Cricetulus griseus: one gene and its partner. The protein of the gene in region 1 interacts with the protein of each later gene in a pairwise test. Links are inferred from orthologs where the notes say so. Each region holds a gene or a part of one and is shown on either strand. Other genes may lie near its edges. The genes, in order: Tarbp2 and Znf346.

The links.
Region 2: the proteins of Tarbp2 (region 1) and Znf346 interact in binary tests that used the Homo sapiens proteins (3 or more experiments, as listed by UniProt). The two-hybrid records come from large-scale screens. The link is inferred for Cricetulus griseus from reciprocal best matches to the Homo sapiens genes TARBP2 and ZNF346.

The regions. Positions count from the first base shown.
Region 1 is NC_048595.1:398,893,602-398,902,185, reverse strand, and holds Tarbp2 (RISC-loading complex subunit TARBP2), read right to left. Parts: upstream 5,900-8,584; 5' UTR 5,759-5,899; coding exon 5,706-5,758; intron 5,596-5,705; exon of another isoform or gene 5,465-5,595; intron 5,178-5,464; coding exon 5,008-5,177; intron 3,900-5,007; coding exon 3,797-3,899; intron 3,271-3,796; coding exon 3,178-3,270; intron 2,668-3,177; coding exon 2,595-2,667; intron 2,409-2,594; coding exon 2,291-2,408; intron 1,976-2,290; coding exon 1,848-1,975; intron 1,531-1,847; coding exon 1,329-1,530; intron 1,197-1,328; coding exon 1,039-1,196; 3' UTR 692-1,038; downstream 1-691. Other genes in the region: Npff (pro-FMRFamide-related neuropeptide FF), read left to right, coding at 126-247, 357-459. UniProt on the Homo sapiens protein: Required for formation of the RNA induced silencing complex (RISC). Component of the RISC loading complex (RLC), also known as the micro-RNA (miRNA) loading complex (miRLC), which is composed of DICER1, AGO2 and TARBP2.
Region 2 is NC_048596.1:274,113,408-274,121,495, reverse strand, and holds part of Znf346 (zinc finger protein 346), read right to left. Parts: intron 4,654-8,088; coding exon 4,550-4,653; intron 3,621-4,549; coding exon 3,528-3,620; intron 1,865-3,527; coding exon 1,720-1,864; intron 1-1,719.

The DNA of each region.
Region 1 (8,584 bases):
GGCTCCTCAGCCTGTGCAAGTTGCCCCTGGAAGTCGTGTCGTCGTCCCCCCCCTCCCCCGTCCCCCACCCGCCGTGTCTTCAGTGTCCAGAGGCTTTTCCCCTCCCTGTCACCCTCTCATCATAGGAAGAAGATGGGGGACCCTATCCATCACAGTATGCCCAGACTCCTGGGTCCCTCTTGCGTTTTCTGCTCCAGGCCATGAAGAGACCTGGCAGGAGCCCAGCCTTCCTCTTTCAGCCCCAGAGGTGAGGTTTAGCAGGCAGAGGCTGGGAAGGGCGGAGGGCGGAGGGCGGAGGAAGAGGTGAAGGAAGGTAAGACACAGGGAGCTTCAACTGAGGATGAATCTCTCCAAAGGTTTGGCAGAAGTGCCTGGGGGTCCTGGAGCAAAGAACAGCTAAGTCCCCAGGCTAGAGAGTTCTGGAGCCTGGCTGCCCCTCAGCGCTTTGGGAAGAAGTAACACAGCCTCATCCTCTGTAATGTCTGCATGTGTGTGCCATGTGTCCCCCTAAATAAAATGGTCTGGCTTGTGAATCTATGTGTTTGGACAAGACTTTCAGGGAATGGGTGGAGCCCAAGGGCAAGAAGCATAGCCCCCTTCACCCCCACTCAAACTCCCACCATTCTGCTGAATGGGTCCCCAGCTCACTGCACGTAGCCTTCTGCTTGCAGCAAAAACAACAGGGAATCAGTAAAATAAACAAATACACCATGTTTATTTCTCTGACAACCACATGACCCAGGGCCAGAGAAAGCAGGGTTTAGGAAGCCAAAGAGCAGCATTTATTCTGGACTCTGGTAGAATTCCAATTTCCTTTTCATTTGTCATCCATAGAATGGAAGCAGATCCTGTGCTGGCTAGGGCCCTATGGTTCATGTCTCCTTGCTTGCCTGTGCCTTCCTCAGTCTCAAGGCAGGCAGTCTGTGCCAGAGGTAGAGATGGCACCTCTGGAGGGCTCCAGAGCATGGTTGATGTATAGGCTCAGGCTCAGGAGGAGCAAAAAGTAAAAGGCGTACATCCATCACTGCAGCCAAGGTACTACTTGCTACCCGCCATGATCCTGAGGTACTGTAGGGCGCGGCGAGCAGCCTCACCTCTGGCTGCCTCCCTGGTAGTTGCAGAACCATGACACACAGTAGCTGGCTGGGTGGACAGTTCCACTAGGCACTGGCAGAGCCCACTCAAGCTCAGTTCTTCTAGAAACCAAGAAAGAAGAGGGAGGCAATGGGGGAGGGGCACCAAATAGGGTGTATGTCACCCATCTCCTAACCCCTTTATACTTGATCTGGTCCTGCCTCCTCCACCCCCAATCCCCCAGCTGGCCATACCAATGTCCAGGTAGCTGACATGGAAAGCCTGCTCCTCAGAGAGCTCACTGAGGACACTGCAGCAGGCAGAGCCCAGAGTCCCTAGAGAGCCCACAGAGCAGCTCCGAAGGGACAGGATCTTTTCTCCCACAGAATTGCGCAGGGAATCCCAGGTGCAGCCTGGCCCCCGGTTCCGAAGCCCATCCAGGCGGGAGCTCACCCCCTAGTGAGACGAGAGTGAGAAAGTGGTAAGGACTGTGGGGCCTAAGCCTCTGGCTCCCACACTCTAACCCTGCAACCTGCTTCAGTGGCCACTCAGGCTTCCTCACCCCAGTCAAAGTTGCCTACAGGGCTTTGCCCTGGGCAAACTTTCACCAGTAAGTACAGAACAGGTTGAGGCGACTGCTGGGCTCACAAGTTCAAGAAGCCCTGGGATTTGGTAAGAAGCAGGCCAGACTCACTTCCAAATCACAGACCCAACCAAGTCCCCACCATGTCCTGTAGTGTGAACCACATGGAAAGCCCACACAATCCACTTACAATGGAAAAATGATCGTCATCAGGTTCTGCCTCGTTGCCATCCCGGGCGTCCAGGGGTACTGTGTGCACTCGAAGCAGCATTTTAGCTGCTGCATTACGCTTTGCCAGTTTTTTGGAAGTGCCACTGCCTGAGTGTGGGGAAGGGATTGCTGGACTTGGGGATTTTTAACAGACCAATGCTTCCCCTCCAAGTTATTCTTAGATTAAAGGTCCCTCAATGGGGTATCACTGTAAAGAGGAGCTGAAGGCCTGTCCTTTTAACTGAGAAGCTGGTGGGCCAGAAAGAGGGGGAAAGATAGGCAGGGGCAAGGAAGACACAGGGAGTAAGAGCTGAGCAAAGCAAAGAAAGCTGGGATAGAACACAGCTAGACAAAGGAGCACCTTATGCTCAGGGTCAGAGTGTGGCAGAAACAGATGATAAGTAAGCCCCACTGTCCCGTTACCAATTTCAATGAAGCGCTCCACTCGGCAGGTCATGGTGAATTCTTTGCGGTGAGCAGGCCCAGACTCCTGGGTCACCATGTACTCTGGCAAACGCCAGCCTTTTTGCACCACAAGTTCCTTGAAAGGGAGACATAGGGAGCCCAAGGATGAGCGAGGAAAGGCTCCTTAGCCACATGGCCTTCTACCCAGGAGCCTCAGTCTTTGGGTGAGAAGGATAATCACCCCTCCCACAGCACACACACCCATGCCTCACAGCCCTAGTCCAGAGAAGACAGCACACGAGAACCAGAAGACGAGGCACACCTGTAGAGCACCAACAGGGTTGCACTCAGACTGCTGAGGAGAGACAGGGGGCTGCATCTCCATGGGAGGGCTCCTGAAGGAAAAAGAGCCCAGACCAATGCTGAGGAAAACGGGTTCTTCTGGGCTGGTCATGGGCTCGAGTACCAGCCACTACCACCATCTCCCAATTTTCCCACCCAGCAGGCAGCTATATCTGTCCAAATATCTCCCCCCATGAAGCTAGCCCCTGCTAGTTCCCAGGAGCATTTTGATGTGGAAATACTTCAGCAGTATCCCTATGACAGAGGTAAAGGGTCTGTACAGCTAATCCTGGAAGTACCTTCTGGGTCTTAAACACAGAACCTGCTGTAACCAACTCAGAAAATGGAGCCTATAAAATGTTTGAACAATCCAACATCCTTCACATGGCTATTTAAATATCATAAATTACCTATCTCAAGCTTACCAATGAGCTGGTACAAATTTTTTTCAATTCTTCCATTCTGTGTTTACTTAAAGACTTCCTCATCCTAACCTGCCTGGGTCCAAGTGCTATGAGGCTAGGGGCCTGCCTCCCTCCGAGATGTCAGGGAACTCAAGGTACCTGGTTAGTATAGCAGATGGAACAGGGGCAGCAACTTCAGCAGCAATGACAGGAGTGTCCTCGGGCAGTGAAGACTCTAGGAGAGAAAAAGAACTTCCCAAGGGGAAGGGAGCCTTGGATTCACACCCATGTAGAAGGGAATGAGAGTATGAGGTCTTTCTGACCTTTCCATCCCCTGAGAGAATCCCTTCCCCCTGATCTAGACTCAAGAGAGCCTCAGCAACAGCTCTTCCTCCTGGGATCCTCTGCTGACCCACACTGGCTCAAAAGCACTGAGGGTGGGGTAGGGGTAGGGCTCAGAAAACAGAATTTCTTCCTACCCAACAAGCTCCAACCTGAATGTAGAAGAGGGAAAGTCATGTGGCTAGAAAGGGGGCGTTTTGGGACCATCAGCCTTATCAGCCTTAGTCTCCACCCTCTATGGCTTACCCCGGGCCCAGAGTAGCCACCACCCATCAAAGGGGCTATTACCCTAGAAGCACCCTAGAGGAAATTCTCAGGAAGGGGCCAGGTCAGGGTGGCCATGAGTCACCAGGCCTGGATTAGGAAGAGAAGTAGGTGGTGAGGAGGCCTGGTTCTCAGCAGGGCTTCTAGTGTCCCTTGACTGTTCCTCCCTCACCTGCTGTCCTCCAGGGCTGGTTCCAGCATGCTCCCCCCTTTGAGGTGTTTGAGGGCCACCTCAGCTGCCTTGTGCTTGGCTGCCTTCTTGCTGGGGCCCTGACCTAAGAAAAGGGGTGTGGGCAATACTGGAGGTCACCAGCAGGACAGCAGAGAAACCAGCCCCCACAGCCTCTCTCCTTACAGCCAAGGGATTGAACAGCTCGCTTACCAACCTCCCCTGCCAGACTAGAAGGGCTCTGCTGACTGCTCAAATAGTCTTTGTCCTAGTTAGTTTTAACTGTCAACTTGGCACAACCTCGGATCATATGAAAGGAGAGCCTTTATTGAGGAATTGCCTAGCTCAGACTGGCCTTCGAACATGTCTGTGGGAGACTGTCTTGATTGTTAATTGAGGTAGAAATGCTCAACTATTGTGGTACCATCCCTTGCAAGGCAGGTGGCCCTGAATGTGGAAGCACTGGGCATCTGCCATTGTTCCGCTGTGCTTCTGTGGCTGTGAAGTAAGTGCCTTGGTCAGCTGTAATGCTGTGTGGAACAGCAAGCAGGCAGCAAGGATGAGTTTATTCTCTTTGCTCTCTGCTTTGTGGATACCTTCCCCACAATGATGACTGTAAACCAATCAAGCCTTTCCTCCCCTATGCTGCTTTAGTTAAGGTGTTTTATCACAATATAAATGGGCCTAGAGCAGCCCTTAGCTTTCAATTATCTCCCATAATTAAGTCATGTAAGGCAGGATTTGAGCTCCAACACTGGGGAGAGGGGAGGTGTCTTCCTTTTCTCTGCAAAAGCACTTTCTTTTCCCTCAACAAATAAGCAATAGAGACAACAAAGGATCAGTTCTAAAGTCAAAGCTCTACTCTGCCACTTATTAGGGCCAGTCATTTAATTTCTGATACTAAGCCCTCTATGGTCAATATGGGTCAAGAGGCCAGCAAAGTGTGTGTTTGCTCCCCCAAATACCCATGGGTAGTTCAGTGTCTCATCTACTTTTCATCTAAGGTGGTAAGAGCAGCAAATTCCTGTGACATTTCCTGTTCTCACCAGTGAGTCTCTCGGGTCCTATCCACCTTCAGGCAGTGGTTTTTCCCCTGAAACCTCTCCATCCCTCCCTGGCCTTAAAGGAGAGGACTGTGGTGAAGCGATCCCACGATATTAAGCCACGGGCCCTGTGAATGCACACCCCAGCCAGGCTGCCCAAGCCTTCCTCACCAGTGCAGCTGGTGTCGCCAACGGTGACCCGGAAGGTGAAATTAGGCTGATGGGCTTGGCCCTCGGCTTTGAGAAGGTCGTACACGGGCGTCTTTCCTATTCTGGTCCCATACTCCTGAAGAAGGCTGATCGGGGTCTTGCCCGGGTTGGCGGCCAGCATTTGCTCTATGCTGGGAGGGAGGGGCACACACCAATATCACACTTCCCCTTTCGGCACCCACCTGACCAAGCACTGTCACATTAGACCTAGCACATTACTGGGTCCATGGATCCCCAGGCAGTATAGCATCCATTGACTGGGCTAACAGTTAAGTTGCAGGAGGGAAAGCAAGGTCCTCTACCCCAAGGCAAGTGGAAACTGTACTGTTCTCAGTTAAGGCGAGGGAGCCTGTGCCGTAGTGCTGGTTGGACGTGCATTTCCCCCTGGCACAATGGAATTCGGGAACCCAGTACCCACCAAACGCACTGAACATCAGGGCATAAAGCGTAAGGCTCCAGTGCAGTCTGGGAATCAAGCCAACCCCAAACTAGAGCTGGAGGCGGTGGCCACTGACCCAGTGCATGCCGGGAACCTCTGCCCACTACCCCAGTGCTTGCTGGGAACAACCCTCAGGCCAGGTGCATGCTGGGGCTGCGCCGCTACCCTCCGCACCGCCTCACACTTTTCGTCCTGCAGGAATGGAAATTAGGCAGCTCACCTGGGCAGCCCGCAGCCTGTGGTAGTGCCGGAGCCCTGCTCCTCTTCACTCATTCCCTCCTCCGTCCCCGCGGGCGCCACCGTGACTACAGCCTCCACGCGCCCCAGTACACCGCCGACGAGCTAGGGCCGGGGCCAAGCCCGGAGTCGCGGCCGGTAGGGCCCGCCGCGGGGCATGCTGGGATCTGGAGTCCCCCTCCCATCCGACTCCTTGTGTCTTCATCAGGAGTCGAGCTACCCGCCCCACAACTCTCCGCGTGGCTCGCCCGGGCGCCTGCGCCGCCCTCTGGGAGGAGCGGATCCTCCACGGAAGCTTCTCAACCTACCAGTGGTTTTAGTTTTCTAATGTCGTCCCGCCTTCTTCCTTGCGCACTGCCTCCTCCCAGGCCGAGACTGTGAGCATGCGTACTAACGGGGTGGAGGCGGCTGGGGGCGGGGCGGTAAGGCATGCCACCCTCAGAGAACTACAGAGCCCAGGTGCCCGCGCGCCGTCCGGTCGCCGCCGCAGGCTTCGCGGCTTAATCGGCAATGCCGAGAGCGACTTCCCAAGGCGCTTTTCGATTGGTCATCTGGCCCAGAGGGCGGGGACGGGGAAAGGGATAGGCTTCCTGAGGAAGGGTTGTGATTGGCGGAGGAGGCTGCCGGCGTGTTTCTTTTGCTGCCCCAGAGGGTGGGCCTTACCTGGCCGCCCCCGCCCCAGAGCTCTGGGGTTGTTGTAAGTTTTTTTTCAGACACTGTCTCCCCAGGCACCAGTGTGAGTGCCAGGCCCCTCGGGCCTCGTGTCAAAAATCCTGCTGCTTTTGTGTGTGTGTGGTGTGTGTGTGTGTGTCTTGTCCTTCGCCTCTCTTCATTAACTGCACGCAGCCTGTAAGGGTTTGCTACTCCTTAAATAGGCCCTACTGAACCTTTCTTTAACTCTCCGGGAATCTAGGGCCCGAGAATCATTAGATGTACCTTCTGCGGTGTTTTGTAGCCTCAACTGAAAGAACACGAGAGTAATTAACGAACTAAATTACGCGCAGAGCTAAACAAGTACTTTTGGATCCCCAAAGTCTTGATACCACCAGAGTGCAGAATGTGGGGGAAATCTTGTGACCTTGGATAGAGGAAGAAAGAGACAGATACCACGAAAAACGTGATTCAAAGAGTGTTTTCAGAACGGGTCTAGGAAGAGATGTCTTGCTAAGAGGGGATGGGGGCTGGAGGTGGAGGAATCTTGGGGTGATAATCAGGGGTCATCCAGGAGCTCTGAAGTGGGAAAGGCCGCACGACTGGGTGAAACAGAAGCAGTGACAAGGGCAGGCAGACCAGCTGGCGACTTTGGTATGAGAAGGGACCAACGCCAGAGCGTTGTGTGTGCTATCTGAGGAGCTGCTCTCTCGGGGTGTAGGAAAGAGTCTGTAAGACAGGTCACCAGGGGTTCTTACAGAATCTGCATGAGGCCCAAAGTGGGACTGCCGAAGGACACCTCCAGGAAGGAGGCACAGAGCCTCGCGAGCCAGGAACAAGCCTGGAGCGCGCCGGATGGCAGCCGTGGGCTCCTTTAAGAGGCCGGCGGCTCCAGCGCAGCATCCCCCGCTCAGGGCGTGTCCGTCCCGGGGGGCCAGGGGCGGGGGCCTTGCAAGGAGCGGGAGTTCAAGTCGAGAGGGGACGGGGCTTAGAGTAGGGGGTGGGGGGCAAAAGCTGGGGCTGACACCCGTGCACCTGCGCTCCACACGAGCATCGCCGGTGACAGCGCCCCGGGTCTGGTGGAGGGCAACGGGGGGAGGAGGGAAAGAGGAGGAGGAGGCGGGAGCAGCATCCGGAGCCGAGCTGCTGCAGCGCCGCCTTTTGTGCTGCGGCCGCGGAGCCCCCGAGGTGAGAGCCTGGGCGAGTTGTGGGGGTGGGGGGCAGAAATGGGTTCGGGTCTTGGGATCCTGGTGTGGAGGGAGAGTCGGGATACAATTGTGGCATGGTGGGGGAGGAGGTGACTCGCGGATGCTGAGGCTGTGGGATGGAGGAACTGGGGACCTGGACCCGACGCCTGGAGATTGGAAGGAGCGGGGCGAAGCTGAGGGATGCGGCGGCCCAGCTTGGAGACCAAGAGCCTCCAGAGCTGTGGTGGATTACGTGAGGGTGAAGGTGGCCAGGGGAAGACTTAAAGGACAGCGGGCAAGAGCACGTCCTCTTTTCTCCTCACCCTCAAGACCCAGAGAAGGAGAAGGAAGAGTTGTGGCCCTCTCCAGGGAAGGAAAGGAAGGGCAAGGCCTAATGTTCCCACTGTCCCCCTCCCCCACACCTGCACCTATCATGCTCCACCTGGAAATTAGGCTGCACCCATTCCTGCATGCCCTGGCGAGGTTCCTCTCCCCTTCCATTTGTAATGCCGCTAATTTCCAGCTGTGCATTCTCTACCATCCAGCTGTTGCACCCTTCCCCCATTTGTATGTGGCTTTCTCTCTCTCTCCAGCCTGCTCTCCCTGGCTTCCCTAACCTATTTCCCAGGTCAGGTGTTTCAGAAAACCCCTCCCTTTTTTCACACACTCACCAAACTCCTTGGCTTACAACAACCTTGATAGCCGAGGGTGGGCTCCATAAGCAGTAGTAGGAACGGAGGGAGGAGCCTTGCAGCTCTCTATTTGCTGCCTCTTTGGCTTTCTACGGGGAGAGCATGCACATGAGGCCCCGGAGCCACAGTGGGTGCCTCACGCTAAACCTCCTCTCTCTTCCAATTCTCTGGGTTGCCTCCATGGTTCTGGGAGCTCTGGTTTCCAGCCAGAGGGTCATCCCAAGCTTACAATCGCAGCAAGGTTTTGGGAAGGAAGGAACCAACTGCTCCCTGGGCCTTGGGTCCAGAGATTGAAGTTTCCAAGTTCAAAAGCCCTTCCCCCTTTTGTGTAA
Region 2 (8,088 bases), on another chromosome or scaffold:
ATTACAGTTATGATGCAGCAACAAAAATAATTTTATGGCTGGGGGTGCCACACCATGAGGAATCACGGTCAAGAGTTGCAGGGTCAGGAAGGCCGAGAACCCTGCTCGAGATAGTGGCTTCCTGACCAATGACTACATTTCATGAGGGGATTTCACTCACTGGCTTTTTAATGGTGACAACAATAGTAACAACAGCTGTTGTTTAGTGAGTATCTGCCATATCCTAGACTTTTTTTTTGGGGGGGGGTTGCCTCTTATTATTTTTTTGGGTGCCATATAGGCCAGGGTGGTCTCAAACTTATAGCCAAGGATGGCACTGAACTCCTGATCTTCTTGCCTCCACTTCCCAAGTGCTGGGATTTGAGGTGTGTGTTATTACTCCTCGCTGTCCAGTGGCTTTTATTTGTCTTTGCGTGGTCCAGAAGCAGATGGTGCTGTTGCTTCACAGGTGCAGGAACTCAGGCACAAATGTAAGTAAAAGCGCCAGAAGTTAACTCTGTGCTGTTCTGACTTCAAAGTCTATATTCTGTTTCATACCCTGGGTAACTAGATTTGGATATGATTAGAGTGGATAATTATGAGTACATTTTTCTATCTTATCTTCAAAACCTTCTAAAACACCACTGTCTTGTTTCAGTGACGCAGGCAAAACAAAAGGATCAAAAGTTCTATCAATAGTGTGGTCTTGACCCAAATTAGACAACGCATGCGCGCACTTGTGCGCGCGCGCGCGCGCGCACACACACACACACACACATACATACACACACACACACACACACACACAGAGAGAGAGAGAGAAGAGAGAGGACAGAGAGGGGAGAAGAGAGAGAGAGAGAGAGAGAGAGAGAGAGAGAGAGAGAGAGAGAGAGAGAGAGATATCAAAGGCCTCCCACTTTTGACTAATTGCAGCTAGCCTAGGTTAAAAACCTCAGGATTCAAGATGAAAGTGAAGGCTGGACCAACAGTGACAGGGTTAAGGAGGCTAACTGTGAAGTCAGTGCTGGGGAATGGATTCACAGCAGCTGTTAACAGCTTGCTGGACAACACAGCATGTCCTGTTTTGAAGGCTAGCCCCCTGCCTTGAGAACAGGAAGCTTTTGTGGGTCAAAGTGAGCAGGGCATAACCTCAGCCCATGAGAAAGATGGGGAATTAGCGGTCAACTAGCAACACTTAATAGTCAGAGCAGGTGGGTGGTAGTAGGAGAGGCAAGTGACAGAATGCTCACAGTGTGTGTCGGCCTTTGGCACTCCTGATTTACAATTACTGGTCAGGACAAAAGCTGGGGCTAAGAAGCTTCTACAGAAAATCTTCGAGAACAACACAAATGGAAGTAAAGTGAACCCAAGTCTAAGGCCGAATTACAGTGAAGCAGGGTCTAGCAAAGGTTGGCCTCAAACTCCCTATGTAGCTGAGGATGACCTTGAACTTCTAATTTTCCTGCCTCCACCTCCTGAGTGCTGAGATTACAGGTGTGCACCACATCTGGCTTATGTGAGGCTGGGGATGAAAGCCAAACCTTTGTGAACATTAGGAACATTAGAACTCATAGGTATTCTACCAAATGAGTTACATCCCAACTCTTTTGTGGATTTTTCAGGGCTCTTAAAAGCAACCTCTCCAAGTCTGAGGCCTCAGTGAGCATTCTGAAGCACTGCCTGCCATTGGTGCCCCGAGGATGAGAGGGGTCCCAAGAGCACTACTCAGGAAACCAGTACCTGCCCCCTTAGTGGACTGCTGCTTCAGCCTTAAGTTCTTTGCGTGGGTCTTCCCCAGGTAGTGCGACTGAGCCACAACAGGGGAGGAAAAGGTCATGTTACAGATGGGGCAGCAGTGGTTCTTGTCTTTGCTTCTGCTGCTCTTCTGGTTGGGAGAGAGAACACAGGTCTGATCACGCCACTGCGCATCCAGAAAACCTCCAACGTTTCCCCTGCCCGTGGCCTGGTGGACATTTAAGACCCAACACACCTCAACAGTCTTCCCCAGCTGCTCCCTGTCAGGTTCTAGCACGACTTCCCATTTTATTCTGTTCCTTCCTTGCTTTGCTTGGTTTATCCCTACTGGCTAGAATGTTCCTCCACCTTCCTGCCTGGCATTAGGTCTACTATCAGCCTTCAATGACTTTCACTAAAAAAAAAAAAAAAAAAAAAAAAAAAAAACCCAAAAACCAACTGAACACGCACCAAGCCCCCTCCTATGTATATGCAGGAAGAATCAACCTCGATCCCCAGCTGAATTCCCAAAGTCTATCAGATTTCTATTACACCCTCTGTCACTCTGAACGGACAGTGGAACAGCTTAGGAGACTTTTATGCAAGCTCAAGTGCAGTGCTGGGTGTGGACAACTTGACTTATTTTTGCCAACTATCCTGTACTCTATTGTGCCGAGCACACAGTACAAACCCAGGGGTTTTAGCACAAGTTTGTTATCAGGTTCCATTTGTTACTATGGTTATGCTAGAAAGTGTATTTTAATCTTCCCGAAAAGCCTGTCCTCTGAATAAGCTGTTTCTTCAACATTTCTCAACCTTTGAACTGCAGACATTTTGAGTCTAGTAATTCCTAGCTGGTGGTGGGTGCTGTGGTCTCATCTGAGTCACTCAGTCATCTGAAAAACTGAAGTGCAAAGAGGAGAAATGGTCTTTCCTTTTTGGGTCCAAGCCACCAGGGCCACTTGGAAGTGATTTCTCGAGGGGAAGCGAGGTCCCTTTAAACCCCTGGCCACTGTAGCAGAAATGCAGTCTGGAGAGTAACCTCCTACTTATAGAGCGTTTCCTGGGGACTAAAACTTTACTTCCTAATACTAAAGAGGCAAGATCATCTTTATGAGTGAATCTCAGAGAGGTTAAGTGACTTTGAAAGTCACAGTACACTCAAGGAATTACAGCTTGTTCCAGCGTAATTCTTATAGTAATTCTGAGATAAAAAGTAAACGTAATTGCTTTCTAATCAGAGGAGGTATTTATTTTCCTTGATTGTTCAGGCCAAATGCTGAGAGTCTGTTTTCCCCACAGCTAAAGAAAATGAGCGCCGGGGCATCTCTCTATGTCCTCTCTTGCTCTGCTTCAATAACCCTCTGGGTGGCAAAGCAGAACAATGAATGATTCTATTTACTGAACCACTACTGTATGACAGATTCAGGGTCTGGTGCTGTTTTATAAATATTTTCTCAACTTACAACCCCCCCCCCAAGGTAGCTATAATGGTCTTTTTTGTTTGTTTTGAGACATTCTCTCATTGTAGCTCAGGTTGGCCTCAAACTTGCTATGCAGCGGAAGACAACCTTCAACTAATCATCTTCCTGCCTCTACCTTCAAGTGCTTGGTCACATCACATGTACACACCACCATGTTCAGAGTATTCCTGTTTTTAACAGAGGAAGAAATCAAGGCTCGGAGTCATAGACTTGCCCAAGTTAGACAACAGGGCTGAGACTGGCAGCCAAGGCAGTCAGAATCAAAGCCTGTGCTCACAACAAACCAATCTGCTTGGGATGCAAGCAGGCTCAACAATGCAGCTACATTACCTGATCTGAGTCGAGTCTCTTCACCTCCCCTTTTAGTGTCTCCATTCCATGGATTGCTAGGTATCTCTTCACTTTGTTGGCATGTTTTTTGCTCTGCAAGAACCCAAGAGAAAGATCAAAGATAGTCAAAGGCCAATCATTTCACAGAGAGGGCAGCCATGACACACCAGATTCTCACCGTCCATTTCACAGAGAGGGCAGCCATGACACACCAAATTCTCACTGTCCATTTCACAGAGAGGGCAGCCGTGACATACCAGATTCTCACCATCCATTTCACAGAGAGGGCAGCCGTGACACACCAGATTCTCACCACCCATTTCACAGAGAGGGCAGCCATAATACACCAGATTCTCACCACCCATTTCACAGAGAGGGCAGCCGTGACACACCAGATTCTCACCATCCATTTCACAGAGAGGGCAGCCGTGACATACCAGATTCTCACCACCCATTTCACAGAGAGGGCAGCCGTGACACACCAGATTCTCACCATCCATTTCACAGAGAGGGCAGCCGTGACATACCAGATTCTCACCATCCATTTCACAGAGAGGGCAGCCATGACACACCAGATTCTCACCATCCATTTCACAGAGAGGGCAGCCATGACACACCAGATTCTGAAGAAATGGGGGAAGAAAACTCATTTGCTGAGTTCCTATTATGTAGTAGGCCCCTCTACAGGCTATCACATTTAACCTTCGAAAATCTATGAGAATACTGTTGTCTATTGTACACATGGAAAAGCTCAGGCCAATCATGGTGAAACTTCCTGCTTATAAGATAGCATAACAGAGTTGGCTTCAAACTCAGATGTACGTAAAGCCAAAAGTCATTCTTTCCACATTTGATCCTGATTTGGTCGGGAGAGATGAGACTCACAGAAATTAAGTTCACTTCACGTCCCAAGCAAACATGCATGAAGGAAACATGTGGTCGCTATGGAAGACTGTGTGAGGCAGGAGAGGAGAGGGCTGGCACTGGACGGCAAGGCAAGCATGGCTATGATAGAGGCCTACCTGGTAGTGTGCCAGCTTCTGGGACTCAGAGATCAGCATGGCGCAGCAGACTTTGCACTGGGTGCTGGTGAAGAGACACTGGTTCTTCTGGATCATGTACTCCACTGTGGAGGGAAAGAGATCATGCAGGTGAGTCCAACAGCACTGCCTCTGGTCTCTCCCAAACACAGGCACCAATGATGGAGCCCAGACCAGCACACAGGCACATCTCCGCTCTTCCTCGCACCAAGCCATGACTCATGCTGTGCTTGCAAACCAACTGCATTGTGACTTCCTTCATATAGGCCAGTGTTCTTTACCTAGTCTCACATGGCTGTTAGGAGAGATGCCCCACGCTTCGCAAGAATTCCTGGCTCAAGGGATCCTTCTGCCTTAGTAGGTGTGACTACAGGGTCACACCCCCATTCACGTTAACCCTTTAAAACAATGTGGAGCTGAGGACTTCTTATGAAGCAGTTTTAAAGGAGCATGAAGAGATGCACACCTTTAATAACAACACTCAAGTGGCAGAGGCAGGTGAATCTCTGAGCACAAGGCCAGCCTGGTCTCCAGAGTGAGTGTGGGGCTTACACACCAGGCTGTGCAGGGCTATATAGTGAGCTCCTGTCTCCAATAACATTAATAGCAGTTTTAATGTAGACCGAAGGAGAGAGAGCCATTTAGGAAAAGGACAATACACACTATGGTGGCTTCAAAGGAAATGGCCCCCAGAGGGAATGGCACTATTAAGAGGTGTGGCCTTGTTGGAGGAAGTATGTCACTGTGGAGGCAGGCTTCAGGGTCTCACTAATGCTCAAGCCACACCCAGTGAAGGCAGTCCACTTCCTGTTGCCTTCTGATCAAGATGGAACCAGCACCGTGTCTGTCTGTTTGCACGCTGCCACGCTGTACCATGATGGTAATGGACTGAACCTCTGAAGACGTCAGCCAACCCAATTAAATATTTTTCCTTTATAATAGTTGGCTGTGGTAATGGTGTCTCTTCACAGTAATGGAATCCCTAACTAAAAAACACACCCAAGACATGGATGTGCTTCCCTTATTAGATAATTCTATAATTGAGTTTAAAAAATTACTTTATTTCATGTGTATGGGTATTTTGCTTTCATGCATGTCTGAGCCATGGAGGCCAGAAAAGGGCATTGGGTCCCAGGGAAATGGAGTTAGAGGCAGTTGTGGATTGCCAAGTGGATTCCCGAAATCAAACCTGGATACTTTGCCAGAGCAGCCAGTGCTTTAAAGTGCCCTGGAACTTGCTATGTACACATCAGGTTGGCCTAGACTCACAGAGCCAAGCCTGCTTCTGCCTCTGAGTGTTGGATTAAAGGCACAGGGCACCACACCCGATAGTAGCAGCCATTCCAAGTAACTGCACAGTGTGAAAGCAGCAATCCAATTGCTTCTCACTGCTGGAAGGTAACCTTTCGGCCTAGTGTGTACTGGCCTCCATAGAGGAAGAACACAAGCATGGGCCTGCATTCCTGAGAGTCCAGGAAAGGATCCCGATACAGGAAACCCTGATGCTCTGTATGAAGTCCTAGCTGAACAGAAAGGGTTTCTAAGAAGCTGGCCCAACCAAAAACCAGTACCCAGATGTGGAGGTTTTCAGTTTTAGGTGTCTTTGAACAACTTCACCTTTACTTTTAACTTTTTTTTTTTTTAAAAGAAGATTTATTTATTTATTTTGTATACATTGTTCTGCCTGCATGTATGCCTACAGGCCAGAAGAGGGAGCCAGATGTCATCACAGATGGTTGTGAGCCACCATGTGGTTGCTGGGAATTGAACTCAGGACCTCTGGAAGAGCAGCCAATGCTCTTAACCTCTGAGCCATCTCTCCAGTCCCTACTTTTAACTTTTTAAATCAGACGTGACCAAATCAAGATGGTTAGACTTGTTGACATCCCTACTTCCCAATGCATAGGGACCTGAAGTGTTAGGTAAGCTTTCTACCATCCAGCCCCAGCTCTGAGACAAAACTTGTCTCTACCCCCTTTTCCCCCTGCTCACAAAATGGATCGTGTGCCTCTTAATGCTAAGGTGACCACTCAGTACTCTCCTTCTGAGGCAGACAGACGGGGGGGGGGGGGGCGAGGCAGACAGATGGACACACACAGAGGAAAGAGCTTTTGCCACTGAGTCGTCGGCTGTATGAACACACACGAGTGCATGCGAGCGCGCTTGCGCGCACGCACACACACACACACACACACACACACACACACACACACACAGGAACGAGTCTTCGCCACCAAGTCATCATTGGCTGTGTGAACTCATCACCCTCTGCAGCTGCTTTCTCTACCAGTGTCATCCACTGCACTTCGGGTCAACCACTGCTGAGAAACCATTCACGGCTCATATGTAAAACTTAAGAATGTTTACGTTATTTTATACCGTTGTTTTGGGGGACTTTCTCTGGCCAGCCTCCTATGGCCATGGCTGGCAGTGTGTGGACCTTTCAGAGCTGCTCCCGGGAGTCTGTGAAAGCTTTGGCAGTGGGTGAATTTTTCTCTCTTTGGAGAAAGAGAACATCATAGTGCACTTGTCTTCTGTTTTTTTTTCTTTGATCTATTTTTAATTGTGGTGTTTGTGTGTCTGTCTGTGAGAACATGAGTGTGACCCAGGTACCTCAGCAGTTGAGAGCCACATGGTATGGGTGCTGGTAACCAAAATCAAGTCCTCTGGAAGAGCAAGACAGTACTTAACTACTGAGCCATCTCTCCAGCTCCAAGTGCAACTATTTTGATACAAAATATTGACAAGAGTCTATTGAAACAAAGAACGAGTCCCTTAAAAAATTAAATAAAATAGCTTGCCCAAATACTGGAGAATTCATATGTAAGGTGGCATAATTTGCCATAGCTAAGCTATGAAGTTAGCTAAATAAATGATTATAGAAAATGTAGGACTGGGGGGTGGAGAGATGGCTCAGTGGTTAAGAGCACTGGCTGCTCTTCCAAAGGTCCTGAGTTCAGTTCCCAGCAACCACATGGTGGCTCACAGCTGCCTGATGCCCTCTTCTGGTGTGCAGATGTACATGCAGATAAAGTGCCCATATACATAAATACATAAATAAATAAATCTTTAAAAAAATGTAGGGCTAATGAAATGGCCCAGGAAGTAAAGGTACTTACTGCCAAACAGGACTACCTGACTTTATTCCTGGAACCCACTTGACAAAAGGAGAACTCAGGGGCTCAAGGGTTAAGAGCACAGGCTGGTCTTTCTGAGGTACTGAGTTCAATTCCCAGCAACCACATGGTGGCTCACACCATCTCTAATGAAATCTTCTGCCCTCTGCTGGTGTGCAGGGGTACATGCCGACAGAACACCACATACACAATCCATTAATCAATCTTAAGGAGAGGAGAGAGCTCCTGCAAGTTGTCGTCTAACTGCCACACATAGCTATGCCAGTTCCACACACAGTGCACATTCACAAATAAAACAAAATGAAAAGAACATAGAAGACATGCTACATACACCCAACAGAACATTATACAGTCACAAAGGACAATGAAATCTGTCATTTGCAG